Linked DNA regions of Danio rerio. The protein of the gene in region 3 purifies or fractionates together with the protein of the main gene of each other region. This does not show direct contact. Links are inferred from orthologs where the notes say so. Each region holds a gene or a part of one and is shown on either strand. Other genes may lie near its edges. The genes, in order: kpna2, copa, hectd1, znf622 and smc2.

The links.
Region 1: the proteins of hectd1 (region 3) and kpna2 purify together in Homo sapiens (affinity purification with mass spectrometry; 3 studies listed by BioGRID, with this or other methods). This does not show direct contact. The link is inferred for Danio rerio from reciprocal best matches to the Homo sapiens genes HECTD1 and KPNA2.
Region 2: the proteins of hectd1 (region 3) and copa purify together in Homo sapiens (affinity purification with mass spectrometry, with the first as the bait; 3 studies listed by BioGRID). This does not show direct contact. The link is inferred for Danio rerio from reciprocal best matches to the Homo sapiens genes HECTD1 and COPA.
Region 4: the proteins of hectd1 (region 3) and znf622 purify together in Homo sapiens (affinity purification with mass spectrometry; 4 studies listed by BioGRID, with this or other methods). This does not show direct contact. The link is inferred for Danio rerio from reciprocal best matches to the Homo sapiens genes HECTD1 and ZNF622.
Region 5: the proteins of hectd1 (region 3) and smc2 purify together in Homo sapiens (affinity purification with mass spectrometry; 3 studies listed by BioGRID, with this or other methods). This does not show direct contact. The link is inferred for Danio rerio from reciprocal best matches to the Homo sapiens genes HECTD1 and SMC2.

The regions. Positions count from the first base shown.
Region 1 is NC_133178.1:24,117,547-24,122,760, forward strand, and holds the start of kpna2 (importin subunit alpha-1), read right to left. Parts: upstream 3,407-5,214; 5' UTR 3,355-3,406; intron 3,258-3,354; 5' UTR 3,222-3,257; coding exon 3,156-3,221; intron 3,011-3,155; coding exon 2,870-3,010; intron 1,584-2,869; coding exon 1,498-1,583; intron 1,409-1,497; coding exon 1,140-1,408; intron 1,042-1,139; coding exon 947-1,041; intron 1-946.
Region 2 is NC_133177.1:40,165,625-40,170,130, forward strand, and holds part of copa (coatomer subunit alpha), read left to right. Parts: intron 1-3,394; coding exon 3,395-3,613; intron 3,614-3,695; coding exon 3,696-3,846; intron 3,847-3,964; coding exon 3,965-4,031; intron 4,032-4,381; coding exon 4,382-4,457; intron 4,458-4,506. UniProt on the Homo sapiens protein: The coatomer is a cytosolic protein complex that binds to dilysine motifs and reversibly associates with Golgi non-clathrin-coated vesicles, which further mediate biosynthetic protein transport from the ER, via the Golgi up to the trans Golgi network.
Region 3 is NC_133192.1:30,170,403-30,174,908, forward strand, and holds part of hectd1 (E3 ubiquitin-protein ligase HECTD1), read left to right. Parts: intron 1-99; coding exon 100-321; intron 322-524; coding exon 525-703; intron 704-1,015; coding exon 1,016-1,172; intron 1,173-1,926; coding exon 1,927-2,149; intron 2,150-2,230; coding exon 2,231-2,285; intron 2,286-2,597; coding exon 2,598-2,780; intron 2,781-3,160; coding exon 3,161-3,374; intron 3,375-3,468; coding exon 3,469-3,551; intron 3,552-4,063; coding exon 4,064-4,191; intron 4,192-4,439; coding exon 4,440-4,506. UniProt on the Homo sapiens protein: E3 ubiquitin-protein ligase which accepts ubiquitin from an E2 ubiquitin-conjugating enzyme in the form of a thioester and then directly transfers the ubiquitin to targeted substrates.
Region 4 is NC_133177.1:44,617,829-44,621,639, reverse strand, and holds part of znf622 (cytoplasmic 60S subunit biogenesis factor ZNF622), read left to right. Parts: intron 1-1,532; coding exon 1,533-1,778; intron 1,779-1,860; coding exon 1,861-2,023; intron 2,024-3,811. UniProt on the Homo sapiens protein: Pre-60S-associated cytoplasmic factor involved in the cytoplasmic maturation of the 60S subunit.
Region 5 is NC_133176.1:21,047,280-21,051,785, forward strand, and holds part of smc2 (structural maintenance of chromosomes protein 2), read left to right. Parts: intron 1-327; coding exon 328-477; intron 478-1,759; coding exon 1,760-1,993; intron 1,994-3,898; coding exon 3,899-4,058; intron 4,059-4,432; coding exon 4,433-4,506. UniProt on the Homo sapiens protein: Central component of the condensin complex, a complex required for conversion of interphase chromatin into mitotic-like condense chromosomes.

The DNA.
Region 1 (5,214 bases), on a different chromosome or scaffold from region 3:
CGCTGTAGATGCTCTGTTTAACTGTTTTCTTGCTAGTGAAACGCTCAGTTTTTCCACTTACGTCATGTAAATAGCAAATGCGCTATGGTGCGATGCAACGCACTGTTAAAGGGAATGAGAGATGAGACTCTGATTGGTTTATTCTCAAAACACATCTATAACTCATTAATAAAATAAGCTGAACCCTTTCAGACCATGCGCCATGGCGCAAAGCGGATTTTTTCCCTCATTATTTAAGAAAAAGTGGATTCTGACATGCCCTAATGCGTTTGCACCCTGCGCATGGATTGTGAAAAGAGCCCAAGGTTTAAAGTAAATCTTAAGTGTATACCTTTATAATAAATTTAATATAATAATAATAATATCTATTAAGCTTAGAGTGTAAATAAACAAGAACAAAACTAATTAAACCGATAATTTTTATTATTTGCTTGAGAATCAGGTCAAAAACATTTGATAATTACGGAGGACAAGAATTGTAATTAAATAGTGAAAGGCAAATTCCAAATGTTTCAGAATTTGTGCATGAAAATATAATGAATTTGTCTGGGGTTTTCTTACATTTTCATGCGCAAATTCTGAAACATTCGGAATTTGCCTTTCACTATTTAATTACAAATGTTGTCCTCACTAATTATCAAATGTTTTTGATACTTAATTATCTGAGGAATAGTTATTTTTAAAACTTCTTAAAAAGTCATAAAAAGACAAATTTTTGCGATATTCAATCTGTAAATTGGTCTAAATCAGCTTCACATTATTTGGTATAATAATAATAATAATAATAATAATAATAATAATAACAACAACAACAATATTTTAACCAACTTAGATTGTAATATTGCAATAAATACATTTCTCAAAATTATTTTTACCAAATTACAATGGACACCCATCTGAGAATAACTTTAAAACCAATTTAAATCCATCTATATAAATAACTTACAGGAAACACAGACAAATCAGGAACAGCCAGCAGAGCCAAGAGGGGGGGGATTGCACCATGCTTAATGACTCTATCCCTATACCCAGAACCATCACCTACACACACACAAACACAAAAAGAACAAATCAATTTGTACACCCACATTAAAAAGAAAATTAAGGGATCTAACTGAAATATTCTACTTAGCACCCACCAGCGATGTTTCCAAGAGCCCAAACTGCCTGCTCGCTAATATGAGCATGTGGTGACGAGATGAGGCTGATGAATGCTGGGATTGCCCCTCCCTGGACCACGGCGCTGGTCTGGTCAGATGTTCCAGATGCAATGTTGGTCAGAGCCCAGGCCGCCTCAAACTGTATAGGAGGAGAGTCTACCAGGCTCAGGAAGCCCACGAACTTAGGAATCAGACCAGCACTGATTATGCGGTCAATAGGTGGATGTCTCTCTCTTGACAGCAACTTCCTGCATGTCAGTGTAAGAAATGAAGCTTAAATACAAGTTGAGATGAATAGAGCTATCTGCACATGTATAAGCAATCTACTGGGAATTACCTGGCAGCTTGTGTGGCCTGGACTTGAGTCTCCAAGTTATTACTATTCACACCATTTACAATCTCCTCCACTGTCCAGTGCTGTGCCTGTATGAACAGAATGGAGATTTTATGAGGTGTAACATTGAAGGCAAGACCTTACAGGCAAAAAAAAAAAAAACGAAAAAAAAAAAAAAAACGCACATCTCAATATTGCAAGTTTGGTCCTTTGGCCTTTCATATTACATTTTTTAGGGTATCAGAAGGAAATCCAAAACACTTTAGGGTTTATTTTAGCACGTTATCAACACATGTCTGTAGATTTAAAATTGCAATACATTTCTAAAGTATTTTCCCCCATCCAGGACAAAGCCATGGATATCCATTCCAGCAGCACTTGCATATGCCAAACTTGTGCATATGCATCAACTATCTTCTTGTGCCTCATGTACTTTTGTAAAATACTTTACTAATTTTAAAGTTTATTTTATTTTATTTTTTTTACAGTGAGAAGCACTTATACAAAATTTGACATATACATATTTACTCAAAAAATAAAATTACAAGTATTAAAAATATCTAGCGGTTTTGGTGTATTTTCTGAATTAATGCGTCAGAAAAACAAAAGTTGAAACTAACTTTTGAACCTGAACCAGTGTTTACATTTTTGCTGTAGAGATACATGCAAAAAGTGTATTTTTAAATCAAATCATTTGCATATTTAAAGCAACATTTAAGCTCCGAATTAGGTACATTCAAAACTATTCTGAAAGCACATCGGTTTAGCTGTGCCTTTACTGAATAAGCACTGTGCTACATCTGGCAGATCACACTATTGTCTTTTTGTTTTAACTCTTAAAACATTTTTTAAAAATTAATCCCTTTTATTATTGGTCTTTATTTTCTTGTCTCTTTTATTTCTGTTTATGTACAGTAAGGCACTTTGGACTACCACGGTGTATGAAATGTGCTATATAAACCTGCCTTGCCTTAAATCTTTAAAAGGAATAGTTCACCCCAATATGAAAATACACTCATTATCTACTGACCCTCAAATGGTTTCAAAACTTTATGAGTTTCTATATTCTGATGAACACAAATTATTATTTTTTTTACAGGGAGCGGAATAGCTTTAACCATTGACTTCCATATTTGTATCTCCTAGTATGGAAGTCAAAGGTTACAGGTTTCCTTTATTCTTCTTAATAACTATATATACTTTTGTGTCCAACAAAACTTAGAAAGAGTTAAAATTAAAAATGACGAGTAAATGACAGAGTATTCATTTTGGGGGCTCAGCTAATTTGGGAAGTAGAGTAATAACAACCAAAGTGTCTTATTTGAAATTTCTTGAGTTTACTGATCTTGAGCAGCAAGTCGGCTGATCTGCATACCTGACAGTTCTGGCTTTTCTCTTGGAGAGGAGAGGTGGCCTCATCCGGAAAACTGCTCACGTTTCTCCTCTTCAAAATCTGCTCGTCTTTCTTTGCTTTACGAAGCTCGACGTTGACTTCGATCCTTCGACGTCTCAGCTCCTAGATTACAGTATTTAACATTTATATGAAAGCTAATCTGAAATACGATATATTTAAAAAGTAACAATAACATTCGACTCTCTTTATGCTGTTTTCATGCTATTCTGTTATAGCATGTTATCTATAATGCAAAGTGGTCACTTACAGTGGCATCTTTTCCTTTGTTTTTGAACTGAGTGAGTCGAGCGGTGTTCTCATTTGCAGCAGACATTTTAATGGAGTTTGATTGATCACAGTGTGTCGTAGCCTGGAAAATAAAATATATCCGTGACATATAAAACAACAATACATCACAATCAATTCACATTTCATAAATACATCTTTATATAATGGTATTAACATACTATTTAAATACGAGCAAAAGTAGGAACTCACCACTTTCAACCAAAGGACTGTGGAGGAGGAAGTATGACACAGATCTTTAAACTCGCGGTTTGAACAATCTGATTGGCCTGTTCGAGCAAAAGCATCTTCCTATTGGGCCGTTTTGAAAAATCACACCGCTGGCGTGAAGACGTGGGTCACACATTATCGCGAGATCTGCTGAGAATGCCGATTATGAACTTGAATATTTTGGGCTTTAAAAAGATACATGACCTTCAAACAGATACAAATGCATTACATTTTCAGAATATACATTTCAGAAATATACATGAATATTTTGGGTCTCCCTTTGTTACTGATACCTGGTTGGACTTATTGGGTTGACGTTTAAAAGCCGGATTATTTTACTTTCAGTAAATATATTTATCATATGTTGTTGTTGAGAGGTTGTGGATTCATTTCCACCCACATTTAATATTTGTTTCGTTTTATACCCACATTTAAACAATACTACAGTGACTGTGTAAATGTAAGATAAGCTTAATTATTCATTTTTAATAAAATATACTGTCTCTTTTTGATGTTTTTCTGTTAAGGGAGGGGCAAATGAGCTCTAAGTTTAATTCTGATTGGTCAATGGCGCTTGGCATTCTGATGTTTAAAATTCTGTGAAGAATTGACGGATATGAAGCAACAACACCACGTGTTTAACGTTACTGAATGGAGACAGAACATTTATACACCATTGTACGCTAACAAATGATAAACAATAGAAGTTGGTGGAAGGTATGTATCATTTCACGGTTTAAATTATGTAACTGTAGAACTTGTAAGTGAAACTACACTTTCTTTGGGCTTGAAAAACAGCTTACGTTGATGGTAACACAGCTTGCCTATTGTTAATGACATTTTTATTCGTTTTCCTTCAGCTTATTCCCTTTATTCATCAGGGGTCACCACAGTGGAATGAACCGCCAATTTATCCTGCATGTGTTTTACACAGCAGATGCCCTTCGAGCTGCAATCCAGTACTAGGAAAAATCCATACACACTCAAATACTACGACCAATGGGGTAAATGTACACATACGTTTAATTTCATTCAGCCAGCCTCAGAGATTGTCGTCCATACAAAATTGGCCAGTTAAATTTCTAATTTCTTTAAAAAAATTAAAAAAACAGCGATCTTCACTGCTTGCCTGAGATACGACACAAAAAGTGGGTATCAGACCAAACAAGAAGCCCTGCATTAAACTATATTTTTCCATGCCATGTCTTTAAAATATGGAAATTAATTTTACTTCAGTATTTTAAATAGAGTTTCTGAGCTAGCCTGCTGCTAATGGTGGCACCTGCGTTTAAACGGTTTTTCGTCTCTTTTTACACTTTTACAATCAAATGGATGCTATTTAACTGATTATATCTGAATTACAACATTAATGCTGTAAAAGAAACTGTAAAATTGAAAATAGTCACATAGAGCTTTCACTGAAAGTTCATCATTGGCTGAAAAACACTAGCTGTTCATATAGCCCATTTAGTTTATTGATCTATAGCGCATGGCTTTGGACTGTGGGGGAAACCGGAGCACCCAGAGGAAACCCACGCGAACATGGGGAGAAAATGCAAACTCCACACAGAAATGCCAACTGACCCAGCTGGGACTCGAACCAGCAACATTCTTGCTGTGAGGGGACAGAGCTAACCACTGAGCCTTCATGTCACCCCATTTAATTCAGTTCATTAAAACTACTATTTAAAGTTTATGAATATATAGATCTGGGATTGCAGCTAGCTTTGAAACAAATGATGCAAAGTATACGAAAGTCACATAAATAAAAAGACTTTATAGAATATTATAATCCTAAAATCATAGAATGA
Region 2 (4,506 bases), on a different chromosome or scaffold from region 3:
ACGAAACACCAAAACACATTTTTTGAGCTGTTGACAGTCGTATATGTGTCCCACACTGCTAAAAACACTATTAGGACACCTATATTTCACAAAAAATTGTAAATTGGTTGTTTTTGCGTTATTTCAAGCAAATTCGTACTTCCGGTTTGAAATGAATTTTTGAAGCTGCGTCACGGTCATGACATAATAGCGTTGTATTCCAGCGTGCAGACTGGGCGTCTGTGCCAGAGTGAGTCTTATTACGTCTTACAGTGTGATGCATTAATGCATGAGTAAGGCTTGGGTCAAACCAATCAGCGCGCTCTATTGTGCAACTTCATTAATATTCATTAGGGTCACCGTGTTACACCACAGAGACGCCACGTTGGGTTGGCAAAACAAGCGTGAAGTGTTGCTTTTATAGTTTGCTGCCATTAAGTTTCGTTTTCATTTTCTCTCTGTGAGAGCTCATCTGGATCACGTGTGGATTAACAGTGTACGCGACGCTCAACAACAATAACTTGCGTGTCTAAGGAGGATTATTGTTTACCTGAGAGCTGTTCTCATCTGCAAACGCTGAAATCCGGATTCGCTTGTAGTCTTCTCTTCATAAAGACGCGGCTCTAGTTGCTGGTGATTGTCCTGTCTCTACAGATTTGGTAAGTGAGCTACCAGTGCTCTTTGTTTATTCAGTTTGTTCGTATCGAATTAAGTTAACTATTGCACTAAACATGTTAGCACCGCATTTTGTGACCGGAATAACACACGCGGCTTTCTGACGCTACCTGCCGTGTGCATCTAAGTTTCCGGGAAATGCTGAGTTATTTTTTTTCTCTCATTCGCCGTGCGGTATCAAACATTGCATGAAAAATACACACTTAGATCAGTTCTCTCGAATCAAATATCTCGTTTGTCGTGAGGGGCATGAATGAATTCCCTGAATGAAAGAGCCAAACTGCAGTTAAAGTCGAACATTTAATAATTTGGCAAATAATTCGACTACATATGTCCATGTAGGTTAAACACCATCACTTTCTCCTGTGTGTATTTTGACTGAAACTCGCGCGTGCCCAAATAGACACTCCCACACCCTCCCACTTTAGTTCCTCCGACACTCCCCTCTAAACAGAGCTGGACACGCCCACTTTTCTGACTTTTTCCAAAGTAGAGGTGTGAAAACACCCTGCTGAAACGAGGGGTTTTCATGGCCCTTTAAAACTGGGTAATCCAATGAATAGAAGTTAACATAAAAACAAGAACAGAATACAGTATCAAATATCAGTTATACAAAGCAAGGCAATCATTCTGGATCTTGATCATTTCTTTGTGCAATAAACAAGGAGATTTTGTCAGCAGCTAAAGTCCAGATCTTTAATGTACTCATTTGCACCAAGTTCACTCACGCTGTGGATAACTCCAACATTATAATGTCTTAAAGTTGTACCAACCACTTGTACAATGTCAAATTATGTGTACGCAGCCAATGTTGCTTTCTTTAATTCTTATTGTTTGGATATTTTTCTCCCACTCACTTAATAATGAATAATTAATCAATAATAAATCATTACTACAATAATGGGCCATGAACAAATACATATTAGGCCTTTGCGTCACCACGCTGTCCACAATTACTCCAGAGTTTTGTGTAATTTCGTGTTATTCTTAATTTATCAACTTTAACTGCAGTTTGGCACTTTCATTTTCGTTTGGGAACATGCATGCCCCCCGTGACAAACGGATGCGAGGAACTGCTGGTGTTGTTTTAATGGAATTTTTGATACTGCACACTGGATGGGAGAAAAAACCTCTGTGTTTCTCGGTAACTTAAATGCACTCGGTAGGTGCAGAGAATAGCATCAAACAGCCATGTGTGTATAGACTACCCTACCATGAAATGCGGCGAAAATCCTACACAACGGTAACAGTTTGATTGCGGTGTTTACATGTTTACATGCGAAAAGCAGCATTTACTGCAGATCTTTCAGTCCATAATATTGTAGTGATATTAGCGTACTGTAAACTTAGTAACTAAATTATTTTGACTAAGGTACGTCTTTAAAAATCGAAAGAGTACTGCTGATGATACTAACTTACTTTGTCATCTCAATAAACGTATATGAAGAACACTGATCGCACACTTCCCAAATCTGTACAGACAGAACAATCAACACCAACTGTACTGGAACTGCATCCTCTTTTTAAAAGAAGACGAGTGGCAAATCCGGATTTTTCTATTTCCAGATGCGAAAAGCTCTCGGGTAAAACCTTACAAACACATTTGTGTTGCGTGTTAACAAACCAATGTATTCCCCAGGTCAGTTCAGCTTAGCTCCCATAGCAGGGAAATGGAAACAAAACCTTTGTTGCAGCACCTTTATAAATGCAACACTGACAACCCATGTCTCTAAACAATTCTTTTTCCACTTGTTTTAATTACAGTTGGCAACACAGCATCGCGTCTCTTTGCTGTCTAAACACTTCAACAATATAGTTATTTTTTGTTAGGGTTAACGCAGTGAATGCAGTGCATCGAGATTCCGGCCATTAAAACAGCTGATCGTCACCGAGTGTTTCAGCACTCTCTCAGAAAACACTTGATTGGTCTCGGCTTGCGAATCAACATTCATAGCATGATCATTTTCATCAGCAATATTACTTGTAACTTTGGGTGGGTTTGCAAATCTGTGTATGTTTCATCGCTTGTTTCTTAAACTTCAGCCATTTGCATTACCCTCGGTCACAGAAGCTCCCTGTCATCTGACAGCGTAAAGCCTTGAGTGATTGACAGCTAATATGAACCAATATAGTGTTAGGGAAGACCGATTCAGCACGTTTTTAGAAAAGAAAAAATCAACAGGTCACACTACAACCATTATATGCAGTCGCACAAATGCTTCCAAATATATTATAAGGTCGCATAGATTAAATTTCGGGCGCATATGCGACCACAATGGTCGCAATTTCGAGCCGTTCATGTCATTGTGTAAGTAAGGTATTACATGCAGCTATTAAAAAGTTGTGATCTGGCACTTTAAAAAAATAAAATTAACTTGACTTCAAGGGGGCTGGGAAAGCCGTTGGTAGGGCGGGTCGCCCCCCTGATATAAAGATAGGGGAAACCCTGAAGTATACTAGATAAACAAGTACATTTTCTACAATTAAACTTATGTATGATGTATGCATGATAGGCCTGTTTAATTACATTATTTAAAAACGTATTAAAATTATTTGGTTTTTGTTCGTCGATGCAGAATTGCTCAATTTGAATTATAAAAGTATTATATTCTACAGCTCTGTCTAAAGTTTTAAATATCTTTGTTTTCCTTAAAACAGGCTATCCTGTCAGACATTGCGTATCAAACAAATTCACCCTATTAGTAGAATTAATTCTATTGTTTATTATCCCCTCCTCTAGAGTCTAAAGCATGGGAGTTGGACACCTGTCGAGGACACTACAACAATGTGTCCTGTGCGGTGTTTCACCCCCGTCAGGAGCTCATCCTGTCCAACTCTGAGGACAAGAGCATCCGTGTGTGGGATATGTCCAAGAGAACAGGCGTCCAGACCTTTCGCAGAGATCACGACCGCTTCTGGGTTCTGGGTGCTCACCCCAACCTCAACCTGTTTGCTGCTGGTAGATTACTAATCATGTTGATCGGGTGTTTTTTGGGGCGATTAAATGTTCCACATTTGACTGCTTTTATGTAACTTCGTAGGCCATGACAGTGGAATGCTGGTGTTTAAACTGGAAAGGGAACGTCCAGCTTATGCAGTGTATGGCAACATGCTTTACTATGTAAAGGATCGTTTCCTGCGTCAGCTCGACTTTAACAGCAGTAAAGATACAGCTGTGATGCAGCTACGCAGGTATGTGCAGTTTTGTCCCTTTTTTGATTGTGCTTTGAGTTTATAGACCCTGAAAGTATCTAAAATTGATAGTGTGCACTTGAATTCTTCAGTTGAACTGTTTCTTTTATCTTCACAGTGGATCCAAATTCCCAGTGTTCAGCATGTCCTACAACCCAGCGGAAAATGCTGTGCTGTTGTGCACTGTGAGTACCCTGCTCAAGTATATTCATAAATAAGGATGATTCACCCAAAAAATGAAAATTCTGTCATAATTCACTCACCCATTTCTTGTTTCAATCATGTTTTACTTTTTTCTGCTGAACACAAAATGATATATTTTGAAGAAGCTGAAAAACTATAATCATTGGCTTCCATAATATTGTTTTTTTTCTACTATGGAAGTGACAATGGTTCCAGGTTTTTCTCTTTGTGTTTAGCAGAAGAAAGAAACTCCTAAATGATTTGAAATACTAGATGGCAAGTATATGATTAGTACATTTTCATTTTGGACCCCTAAAATCAAGATAAATTTTTTTTTCTCCTTGTTCTCTAGAGAGCTACTAATTTGGAAAACAGCACCTATGATCTGTACTCCATTCCCAGAGAGAGTGACTCCCAGAATCCTGATGGTAACATTTGGACCTTTCTCTTTAGAACTTATTGTTTTATGTGCAAAAT
Region 3 (4,506 bases):
CATGATTTGCATGTTTAGCCTGTAGAGCAAGCTTTTTCAGTTACCTGCTTATTTTGTTCTTTTTGTAGACTAATCACAGTTTTTGGGTTTTGTTTGCAGCTTCTCCACTTATGGGTGCGCAGAGCTTTCCTAACCTTACAACCACTGGTACCACCTCAACTGTTACAATGTCCACCTCTATAGTAACCAGCAGCAATAATGTAGCCACGGCAACTACAGGTTTGTCCGTCGGCCAGTTGCTCAGTAACACGCTGACGACCAGCCTGACCTCTACATCTAGCGAGAGTGACACAGGTCAGGAGGCTGAATTTTCCCTCTATGGTAGGCCATATTGCATTTATCATTTGCTTACACAAAAACAATCTCTCATCCTGTCTTGTTCTAGTGTGTCTGCTGTTTTTGCAGATGTCTAATCCCTAATGTTTTTGCTAATTAACTAACTTCACAGTGTTTTTCTCTGAATTGAAAGGTTTATTATTAGCAGCATGAAACCTAATTCTTTTCATTGCCTTTCTTTTGCTCAGACTTCCTGGACAGTTGTCGGGCCAACACTTTGCTTGCAGAGTTGGATGATGAAGAAGATTTGCCGGAGCCAGATGATGACGATGATGAAAATGAGGATGACAATCAGGAGGAACAGGAGTATGAGGAAGTTTTGGTACGGTCCAGGGTCAACCTTGGTTACCACGTTCATATTCATAGGGTAAAACCTGTTGTAGTTTCAATAATAGTACAGTGAAGATCCTTAATTTTTGGTTTTCTTGGTGTTCTCCTCTCTGATTACTTGACATTTGGTGTTTTTGTTTTTAGTTTGGTGAACAGTGGTGTATTTCTTGGTTAGGAATGTATTTGGTGTTCCTATCTTTTAAATGATTTATACATTTATTTGGTTTGTATGCTCGTTTACCAGCATGGCTCCTCTGTGTAGCATGTCTTCAGTTAGTTGAAATATGTGTCATATTTTTGAGCAGTTGAACATTAGGTGTAAGAGAGCTTTACTGCTTTGCTTTTAAAGGAGGAAGAGGAGTATGAAACCAAAGGGGGCCGTCGCAGGACCTGGGATGACGACTTTGTGCTGAAACGACAGTTTTCTGCTTTAGTACCTGCATTTGACCCTAGACCAGGCAGGACCAACGTCCAGCAAACTACTGACCTGGAAATCCCCCCACCAGGTACTGTATCTGTCAGCTTACAGGTGTTTTCCTAATCATTTTAAGTCAAGTGGCTACATTATACTAACGTTGCAATGAGAGCACAGTATTACTTTTACAAGCGGAAGGTGCTAAAGTTTACTACGTAGAAATGTCCTGTAAGCACATTATCTGAGCAGACGCTAAAAAGACTGCCTTTTCATAGCTCAGTGCAGTGTTTCCCATGTCTGTTGTGAAAGCCTCTTCACACTGTGCAGTGACTTCGACTAAGTGGGGATGAAAAAAGCCTTTGTTTTTGCTTTTAATGTTTTGGCCATTTTTTTTTCTTTTTTGGCCAAAAACCAAAAATGCTGTTTTTGCCTGATGATAATTGGCAGCTGAAAATTTTGTCCCTCCTTATTAAATACTGTTATTCATTCATTCATGCATTCTTTTTTTTTTTTTTTGGCTTAGTCCCTTTATTAATCTGGGGTTGCCCCAGTGGAATGAACCGTCAATTTATCCAGCAAATGTTTTACGCAACAGTTGCCTTTCCAGCCACAACCCATCTCTGGGGAAAAAATACTGTTATATGTTGTAATATTTTGGGTTGGCACTTTATTTTTGATAGTTTTATCAATTTTATATTCGATTTTTTTTTTTTTTTTTTTAATGGAATATTTTATTAGCATGGCTCCTGTTAGGGCTAACTAACAAATTTGTTTACTGCTGAGTCAATCTCTGCTTTTTGTTTTGAATTTACAATGCGAAAAACATACATCTATTGTGCTTGCAGGAACACCTCGTTCAGAGGTACAGGAGGAGGTGGAGTGCGCTCCTTCACCTCGTCTGGCTCTCATCTTAAAAGTAGCAGGTCTAGGAACTACTCGAGAAGTAGAACTACCTCTCACCAATTACAAGTCCACCATTTTCTATTATGTCCAAAAACTTCTCCAGCTGTCATGCAACGGTGCTATTAAACCTGACAAGCTCAGACGCATCTGGGAGCCTACGTATACGTGAGTCCATTGTTTAACAGTTGTTTTTATATCAACACAGTCATGTTTAGACACCTGCTAACAAACATTGTTATTTTTCAGGATAATGTATAGAGAATTGAAGGATTCCGACAAAGAAAGAGAGAGCGGAAAGATGGTAATAGCACATTTTTTAACATCTCTTCTCCTCTCAATCTCTCTTCCTATCCTCCTTTCATTCGCTCTCTTCAGCTCATTGAAATCTTGGCTGTGATTTTTCTGTGGCTGTCCCCAATGGTAAATGCTCCCTCTCAGTAAACTGTCTGTCAGTGGTCACTAACCTTAAAGCCAGCAGACTGTGAGATGACCCCCAGTGGTATCTATTGTTAAATGCACGGGCCTCTCTAGTGGTTAAATCTACTGTAATGCATGTGTATTGCGTGAGACTTTACAATCAGGAAAGACCAACATTTGGTTCTTCCTGTTGTAGGGTTGCTGGTCTGTAGAGCATGTGGAACAGTACCTTGGCACAGATGAATTACCAAAGAATGACTTGATAACCTACATGCAGAAGAATGCAGACTCAACTTTCCTGCGCCACTGGAAATTAACCGGCTCTAATAAAAGTATTAGGAAAAACAGAAATTGTTCGCAGCTCATAGCTGCATACAAGGTATAGAATGGCATCGGATATGCATATATATATACATACCATTTTTATTTTCCCTTCTGTTTTTCAAGTATATTTTCCTCTTTCTTGCTTGACTGTCACTTGTGTAGCCACCTGTTAGACAGTTGTTGCTGTCCTTTTGTACATTTTATTGCTAAATGGGTGTAAATGTCGTACCATTAAAGTTTTAGCTGTCATTGTGGACTTTATTCTTTATTTGCTTTGATTTGTTTTTGTTGTTATTTTTTTTTAGCATTTCTGTTGTCGTTTTTGTCCATAAACTGTATAATTTAGTTAGATTTGCGTTGCTATAGGTCTGCTGAGATAAGGATTGGCAGTCAAAATTAGGGGTGCATTATTAAATGTGCTTGTATGGTTTTCAGGACTTCTGTGAGCGTGGCTGCAGATCTTCAGGCCTGAGTTCAGGGACGTTGTCCACGACGCAAAGCTGTGATATCTTGAGTGCTGCAAGAGAGCAGGCTCAGGCTAAAGCGGGCTCGGGTCAGAGCGCCTGCAGCGTAGAGGATGTACTGCAGCTCTTGCGCATCCTTTTCACCATCGGAGGAGAACCTACATCTGGACGCACACTACAGGAAGGTAAGCAGCTCGTCCTCGCAGCATCGTGTCAATCCTTTTTGTTTCTTTGTTTTTAAATTTAGTATTTGCCTATAATTCACATTTATTTGTGCAGATGTGGAAGAGCTACAGTTCAATGCATCACCTGAGGAATTCACCAGCAAAAAAATTACAACCAAAATCCTGCAGCAGATTGAAGTAATTTGACATGTTTTAATTATGCATTGGTTATTTGTTGTAGATTCAATACTATTCAAAAGTTAAGAGTCGGTAAAGTGTTATTTTATTTTTTATATTGTTAACACTTTGGTCCATTTTGAAATGACATGGATGTCATTTAGAGCACAAGACAGACAGTAAAAAATATGACCAAATAATTTAAAACAAATTTGATTGCACTGCTCTCTGGAATACCTAAATCTATTTGGTCAGTCATGATTTACTACATTCCAAGGTATGTTATTTTCAGATTACAACAGCTGAAAAAAAAGACTCCTCTGAGTACATTAAGACTACCCTGACTACTAAACTACTTAAAAAAAAAAAAAAAAAAAAAAAATCAGCCCTAATTTTCAGGATTTTATTTTTAAGTGTCAAGCTGATTTTACACTTAAATTAACATTATTCAAGAAGTTCAGTAAGTTACCATTATTTATTCTAAAATGCATTTTTGTATGGTTAAAAAATTTTAAATAACGTTTGTCTTTCAGGAGCCATTGGCTCTGGCTAGTGGGGCTCTCCCCGACTGGTGTGAACAGTTAACCAGCAAGTGTCCTTTCCTCATACCCTTTGAAACCCGGCAGCTTTATTTTACCTGCACTGCATTTGGAGCCTCTAGGTCTGTTCTTATATTTTTAAGTGTGTGTGTGTGTGTGTGTGTGTGTGTGTGTGTGTGTGTGTGTGTGTGTGTGTGTGTGTGTGTGTGTGTGTGTGTGTGTGTGTGTGTGTGTGTGTGTGTGTGTGTGTGTGTGTGTGTGTGTGTGTGTGTGTGTGTGTATGTATATATATATATATATATATATAAAAACAGAATATTACGAAGGTTGTTAAACGAACAATGATTTAAGAACTTGCTTGTGTCCATAGGGCAATTGTTTGGCTCCAGAATCGAAGGGAAGCCACTATGGAGCGTTCCCGGCCATCCACGACTGTT
Region 4 (3,811 bases), on a different chromosome or scaffold from region 3:
CCTTTCCGTTAAACAGAGATTGGGGGAAAATGTATATATACAGTTATTTTCCTCCCTGTAAATAAGGAATTAAATACAATACACTAAAAACATGAAACAAACTGCTTTAAGCATCTTTACTGTAAGAAAATCTTTAGCTCAAAGTCCTTCAGTCAAGAGAAGTGAGGGATTTTGTCCTTTTGTTGTTTGAGTAATAATGATAAAAACGGTCGTTAGCAGGAATTTTGCGCGCTGTCACTTTAAGAGCAGTACACTTCTGATTTATGGTTTCACTTTCACATGTCTTTTGATTCTCATCTCGTTTGTTTATTACATAAATGAGGGTTAATATGAATAATCACTGAACACCGTGTTTTGACACAATTTGCATTTATTTGACCATTAAAGCGCTCGCATTAAGATGACTTTAGATGTGTGTGAATAAAAAATCGGACACATAGCTTAGGAAAGGTATAGCAGAAAATTTTGATGGTTTTAAAACCTTGACTTTTTCAAATCGCCATATACCTTGAAAACGGTTATCGTCCCATGCCTATATATAATAGGACATATACATTTTTACATTAGATTACCGAATCTTAAGAACCTTTGGGATAGAAGTGTTTTGTTGTGTGAAAGTGTTTCACTTGCTTTGTTATGGTGTTGTATAATCAATGGCATATAATAATCTCACTTTGATTGCTTATCCTTGCAATAATTTCTGTGCCAATATATCACACAACTAAAAAAAATCTTTATCGTGGTAGGCCTGGTGATTACAATAAAATACAAAGTGCTACTGTTGTTGTTTTTTGGTCTCATTGGTTTGGTTTAAAACTAAAGAAAACAGATATTTTGTATTATTGTCATTTAAAGGGATAGTTTACCCTAAACTTGTACTTTCAGTCACTGTTTCAAACCTGTTTGAGTTGAACACACATAAAAAATTAATTTTGAGGAATGTTGGAACAAGGTAGCCAACTGACTAATGTAGTATTTTCTACTGTGGATGTCAGTAACTACTGCTTTCTAAAATTCTTTAAAGAATTTTTTTTCTGTGTTTAATGGAAAAAATTAAACTCATAAGCTGCGTCTTAAATGGCACACTATGCTCTTACTCACTCAACAGCATTGTATATGTATGTAGTGTTGTCCCAAATTGAACTCTAATGGTTATTTTACTAAGTTCAAACCATTTCCCTAATGATGTTTGACGGGTGAATCAACATTAAAATTAATTGTGCAAAACAAAATTCAAAAATTAAATTAAAACCTTAGCTAATTTTATAGTTAAATATTTAGAAACTATTTTAAAATATTCTGTGGTATATAAAGCAGTATATTAAGAAATGTGCCTACTGCTAAGAATCTTTTTCTTTGAGGAAAACTTTGATCTGAACTGAAATGAAGCATTTTATTAAACTGAACTAATTATTCAACATTAAACTGAACTGAATAATGATGCTACTGTTTTTTAGAGCAGTTCTATAGTTTATTAAATTTGATTCATAACTGTCAAATCTGTTATTGAGAACCATTTTTTTTCTTCTCAGATTGGGAAGATGTTGATGAGGATGAAGAAATGGATGATGACGATGAAGAGGAAGAGGAGATGGAGCAGGACTCTACATCTGGGGCAGCTCTTGCCCCCGGTTCAATCCCAGTGACAGACTGTCTGTTCTGCGGACATCATTCACACTCACTCAGTCGAAACGTAACACACATGACCAAAACACACAGCTTCTTCATCCCAGACATTGAGTATCTGGTGGACCTGAGAGGACTGATGTCATACCTGGGTAAGTGAGAACTGAGTTTATCTTTGTTAGAATTTGTTTTTTAATAAATGTTTCTGTCATTAATCTGTGTTTTTTTCTGTAGGAGAGAAAGTTGGCGTTGGGAAGGTGTGCTTATGGTGCAATGAAAAAGGGAAGTCATTCTACTCTACAGAAGCGGTTCAGGCACACATGACCGACAAGAGTCACTGCAAACTCTTCACAGATGGAGACGCTGCACTTGAGTTTGCCGATTTCTATGATTTCAGGTACACAAACAATTGTTAACATTTTTTTAAACATATTTTGTTTTGGGACTGTTGTTGAGTATTACATAATTTCTGATAAAAAAAACTGCACATCAAAATAAGTATGGTAACTATAAAGTTATATTTTTTAATGTTTATTCAATCGCAAAGAAGACATTGCAGTAAGGAAGGCATTTACTTCAATAATAATTTTTGCTTACCATTAATTGTATGTATTTTAAATGCCTTTTTATTATTTCAAAATAAAGTAAATTAAGCTTAGAAACTGATTTTAACAAGCTTTTATTAACAAATATATATAAATTGGCATTAATAAATATTAAGAAATGCTGTAAAAAAATAGTGTATAGTATTTATTAATTACTCATAGTTTGTGTGGAAATGGAAATTTACCCAGTCTAATTTCTAATTGCAAATGATTTATCTATTTGCGGGTTTATTTAATTTTTTTACTATTATTAAAATATCATAACTTCTGATTTTAAAAAAACTAACATTAGAATAGAACCAACAACCAGTGGATCATTTATTTAATGTATCCAGAAAGTATTCATAGCGCTTCACTTTTTCCACAAATTGTTATGTTCCAGCCTTATTCCAAAATGGATTCAATAATTTATTTCCTCCACATTCAACAGACAAGACCCCATGATGACAATTTTAAAAAGTTTTTTTTTTTTTAAATGGTTGCAAACTTATTAAAAATAAAAAACCTGAAAAACCACGTTGTAGAGAAGTATTCACAGCCTTTGCCGTGAAGCTCTAAATTGAGCTCAGGTACATTCTGTTTCCACTGATGGTTTTGAAATGTTTCAGCAGCTTAATTGAAGTTCACCTGTGATAAATTTAGTTGACTGGGAATGATTTGAAAAATTCATACACCCGTATGAACCTTACAGAAGGACAACCATCTGTGCAGAAATCTACCAATCAGGCCTGTATGGTAGAGTGGCCAGACGCAAGCCACTCCCCGCCTGGAATTTGCCAAAAGACATCTGAAGGACTCTCAGACCATAAGAAACAAAATTCTCTGGTCTGATGAGACTAAAATTTAACTCTTCGGAGTGAATGCCAGGCGTTACGTTTGTAGAAAACTAGGCTTCGCTCATCACCAGGCTAATACCATCCCTATAGTGAAGCATGGTGGTGGCAGCATCATGCTGTGGGGATGTTGTTAAGCAGCAGGAACTGGAAGACTAGTCAGGATGGAATATCAATGTATACATGATACATACATACCACCAAAATATCAATGGAGTGGCTTTACAACAACTCGGTGAATGTCCTTGTGTGGCCCAGCCAGAGCCCAGACCTAAATCCTATTGAACATCTCTGGAGAGATCTGAAAAGGGCTGTACACTGTCGCTTTCCGTCCAACCTGATAGAGCTTGAGAGGTACAGCAAAGAGGAATGAGCAAAAATTCCCAAAGACAGGTGTGCCAAGCTTGTGGCATCATATTCAAAAAGACTTGAGGCTGTAATCGCTGCAAAAGGTGCATCAACAAAGTATTGAGCAAAGGCTGTGAATACTTATGTACATCTGATTTTTTTCAGGTTGTTATTTTTAATAAATTTGCAACAATTTAAAACTCTTTTTCCATATTGTCATTATGGGGTATTGTGTGTAGAATTTTGAGGAAATAAATGAATTTAATCCATTTTGGAAAAAGGCTGTAACAGAAAAAATGTGGGAAAAGTGAAGCACTATGAATTCTTTACGGATGCACTGTATATTTTCTAAGACAGTCACGAACTCCATTGCATTGTAAAATTTAACTTTTAATTTTT
Region 5 (4,506 bases), on a different chromosome or scaffold from region 3:
CTGATTAAACTCATCCAAGGTCCAAATCTGGACCGCAGTCTGCGGTGGGGTGACCTCGAATTTAAATAGTTTGGGTTTCTTTTACTTGAACAGGTTTGGTAATCGAGTACTTTTGTGGAGACTGGAGGTCTGTAATATGGGATGGGATGGTGGGTAATGGACTGGCAAAAGTATTAAAATCATTGTACGGGAAAAGATTTGTGAATTTTTAATGATGCAAATTGATACCTGTTAGAAAAGTGTGCGGTTGATTGATTGAATATTTCTGTCTCCTGTTGTACTCCATTAGCTCGTCTCATTTCTGTGTCTGTCTCTCTTTCTCTCCAGGAGGTTGGGGGGGTATTGAGGACGCTGGAAGAGACCTTGTCTGAAGCACAGAGAGTGGACACCAAGGCCCAAAGTGCCCTGGATCTGAAGAAGCAAAACCTGAAAGATGAGACCAAGAAGAGGAAAGAGCTGGTCAAAAACATGGAGGAGGTATGAGATGATGCTGTCCTTTATTCAAATTAGGCTTTTGTATTTGCTTTTTGGTTTTCCACTCTTTGACTTAAAGGTAGTTCACCCAAAAATGGAAATTTACTCAAGTGGTTCCAAATATTTGAGTTTTATTTAATCTGTTGAACCCAAAAGAGATATATTGAAGATGCATACAATTCTTGTTTGTCGTCTCGCGCATTGTGTCTGTTTGTGTCTGTAGATTTCAGTTGCAATATATATTTTTACTACTTCACTCTCTTAGACATAAATCTCCTTCATCTCCTAATAGCACTTACACCAAATGTTTTATTCATATCTGTATTCTGTGGGTTGTTCTATAGGTTTGTACATTTTATTCTACTTTATTTTTCTGGCAGTTTATGGTACTTGTTGAATTATGCAGTGAGTAAAAATAGATGCTCAAAGCACCCTCTTTAAAAGCCTTTGATTTGTAATATGTCAAAAGAAAATGACACCAAATTTTTAACTTGATGTTGAACAAGAAATGTATGCAAATTAGAACTTATAATGAAATAATAACTTAATAATTACCAAATATTTACAATTTTTAATGTATTAAGTCAACTAGGGAACTCTTAATTTATATTTACCCTATTTATCTAATGTCTTGCCTTTTGAGTGTTGGATGTTTAAAATACTTTAATTGATATTTAAAAATGTAAAGAAATTTAAGCCCCTTATATAAAGTATTAAGTCTTAAATGCTATTTTGCAAGGTATTACATTTTATATCATTTTTGTTTATGCAATGTATAGTTGTATGCTATAGTTTGCCTGAATTAAATCAGCGAATATCAGGATGCTGTGTAGTTTATGAAATCAATAAAATCTTGTTAGATTTAACATTATGGTGCTTTGTTTACTGCAGTAATCAAGCCAGCAACATTATTTCTGCAGTTCTATATTCGCCAACCTGCTGAATTAGTTAGATTTAATAGATTTTTATTCAGTATATCAATAATGGTTTAGTTTTGGATTAATTTCTTACATTAATATTTAGTAAATATGCTGCAAGTTAAAATCTTACCAGTGTTTACGATTGAAAAGTGGTATTAAGGTCTTAAAGTGTGCAAAGAGTCTTAAAAAGGTCTTAAAAGGTATTGAATTTCACTCTTTGATTCCTGTATATACTATGAAATGGATTCAACATGGAAATTAAAATTTAATAAATATATTTTTAAAAACTATTTTAATAAATTGTTTAAAATTGGTGTGTTGATTTAAGGAAGTGTCAATTTAAACGTGTACTTTGTTTGCACTAGGATAAGAAGGTGATGTCCGCTAAGGAGGCCGAGGTCGCTAAAGCAGTAGAGCGTCTGAAGGCAGTGAAGGAAGAGGGCCAGAAGGACGCAGAAGCGCTGGAAGCAGCACAGCAGCATTTCAAGGCAGTGTCAGCTGGTCTCTCTGCCAATGAGGATGGAGCTGAAGCCACACTTAGTGGCCAGATGATGACCTGCAAGAATGACATCAGTAAAGCTGAGACGGAGGCCAAACAGGTGACCTTTAGAGACCGTCAACACTGGCTGCATTCCACTGCACTTTTACTAACACATTCACTAACTTCCCTTCCCTTGTTCCCTATGGGCATCCCTCACTGCCATTTTAAAGTGCGTTTCACTTCATCAAGTGAATGAGGGTAGATTACATGGACATACTCTTAAATTCATTCGTCCACCCCAGCACCTATATGTCCCAGAATGCAATGCAGCTGCAACTGCTCAAGGATTTGGGGTGTTTCATTTAAACTCATTTAGATGTTTCACCAGTAGTGGGCACTTCTGTCAAGTAATCAATGACATATATTCGAGGAAACAAGACAGTGAATTTAGCGGGTAAAAAGGCATAAAAAACTGGAGTAAAATGCAGCCAGTGTTCACATTGATCAAATATTTTTGTCCACAGTATATACCTCAATAACTGTTCACTGAGCATACTATTACTATTGTAATATAAGTATTGTTTACTGTCTGTGTTACTAAAATCAATAATGTCTCTAGACTACCCTCAACTTTATGAATATTGTGAGTCTACTGTTTAACCGTTTGGGCAATGATGAGGTTTTATTTATTTATTTTGACAAGTTTTTTTTTTTTTTTTGCAATTTAAAATAATTGTCTAAACTGTACATTTTATTTTAAGAGAGCATCCTTTTATTTTTGTTATGGCAGAGCTGAATTTTGCTAAATTCAAGAAAGCATCTTTTAATATTCAGATTTGATGCTCAAAAAATATTTATTTTGAGTGGTATTTACTAAAAGTAAACCCATTAGGACGAAGTTAAGTATTTTTATTTTTTTTTGCCAGACATTGTTTTACAATAAAAGTTAAAAAGACATAAAGTAAAAAAATCATTTAACTTTTGTTTCTTTATTATATTAGCATTTTCGTAATTGTTTTGCCTTAAAAATTGCCTGAGATGCTCACATGGCTTTAAATAAAAAAATACAATATAATAAAACGTTTAGTGTTAAATGGTGTTTAAATGGTTACAACAATTTACCTCAATTTGATGAATAGAAAGCTCAAAAGAACAGGATCTATTGGAAACATTGCATTGATTTATTTTTTTGTAATAGTAATACATAGGGATAGGTGATTAATCGAAAAGTAATTGAAATCGACATTCAGAACCAATAACCAATCTTATTTTTCCAGGTCAAATTGTTTTTAATTACTCGCCTTACTGCATGTGGAGTCATATGACCCTGCTCTGTTTGTTATTATTGGGTTTCTTTTGCTACATTAATGATTGACGAAGCTGCGCCAGAGATTCATTGTTGAGACGCCATACTTTCCATTACATTAAAATAATTTTTTTAATTAAAACATTTGTTAATAGAAGATGCAAGAAATACACTGTTTTAAATATTATTTACAGGATATGCAAGAGTTACTTTATTTAGAAGGTTTAATTTTCTACTTTTAATATGAAAACATTCAAAATATTTTATTTTGTTTCCAAAAATGCAAGTTATTTATTTTCACTTTTTTTTATATAAGACAAAGATGACTGTTTTAGGCAATGTGTGCTATAATTTCAGTCATTCAGCATTGACGTTCAATAAATAATCATAGATAGTAAATAGTGTTTTTTCTTCAATTATTTTAAAATCAAGTAATGCACCCTTCATTCAGAAATCTCACTTGTAATATGTGAGCATATTTACTGTTAAAAACCTGTCAGTGATCTCTGAGATAATAATAATATAATTGTTCATTAATCGTAATCGAGTTAAAATGTTCAATTAATTGATATTTAATTTTTAGGCTAAATCACCCAGCCCTAGTAATACGCAGTTACGTTTCTTTAATGTGTTTTCTGTCAGCATAACAGTGTCTTATGCTGTATGTGTTTTGCATTAAAGAATGATGTTAAACTGTTTAAATGTTCTGTCTCTTAGGCTCAGATGAAGCTGAAACACGCTCAGCAGGAGCTGAAGACTAAGCAGGCTCAGGTTAAGAAGATGGACAGTGGCTACAAAAAAGATCAGGACACATTTGAGGCTGTGAACAAATGCATAGAAAAGCTACAGGCTGAAATGAAGAAACTCAACTATGAAGGTACATATTGAATGTGATTATACTAGGCATAGGTCAGTATACGTTTCTGAAGATGTGATAACCTTGAATAGCAGTAATTACAATACTGTGATATTTCTCTGAAATATGTTCTCTTTAAATGTCTAGTATACATGTCAGGCTAAATAATTAAAATAAATCATTGACTTCTGCTCTCTTCATTAGTTTCAAAAACAGATTTTTTATAACAAATTAAAAAAAATCTTCTTTCAACATCAAATACTGTAGAAATGGTATAACTGCGGTAAACCTTGAAACTGGTTATAGTCTTATGCCTAGATTATACATGAATTTATTTATGCAGTCTAAACTACTGACTCGATGTGTTTTTCTTTTTCTTTTTTCTTTTTTTTCAGATGGACGAGAGGAGTGTCTGTTGGAGCAGAAGAGGCAGTTTTCACGGGAAGTCATTCAGCTCAGAGAAGCTTAT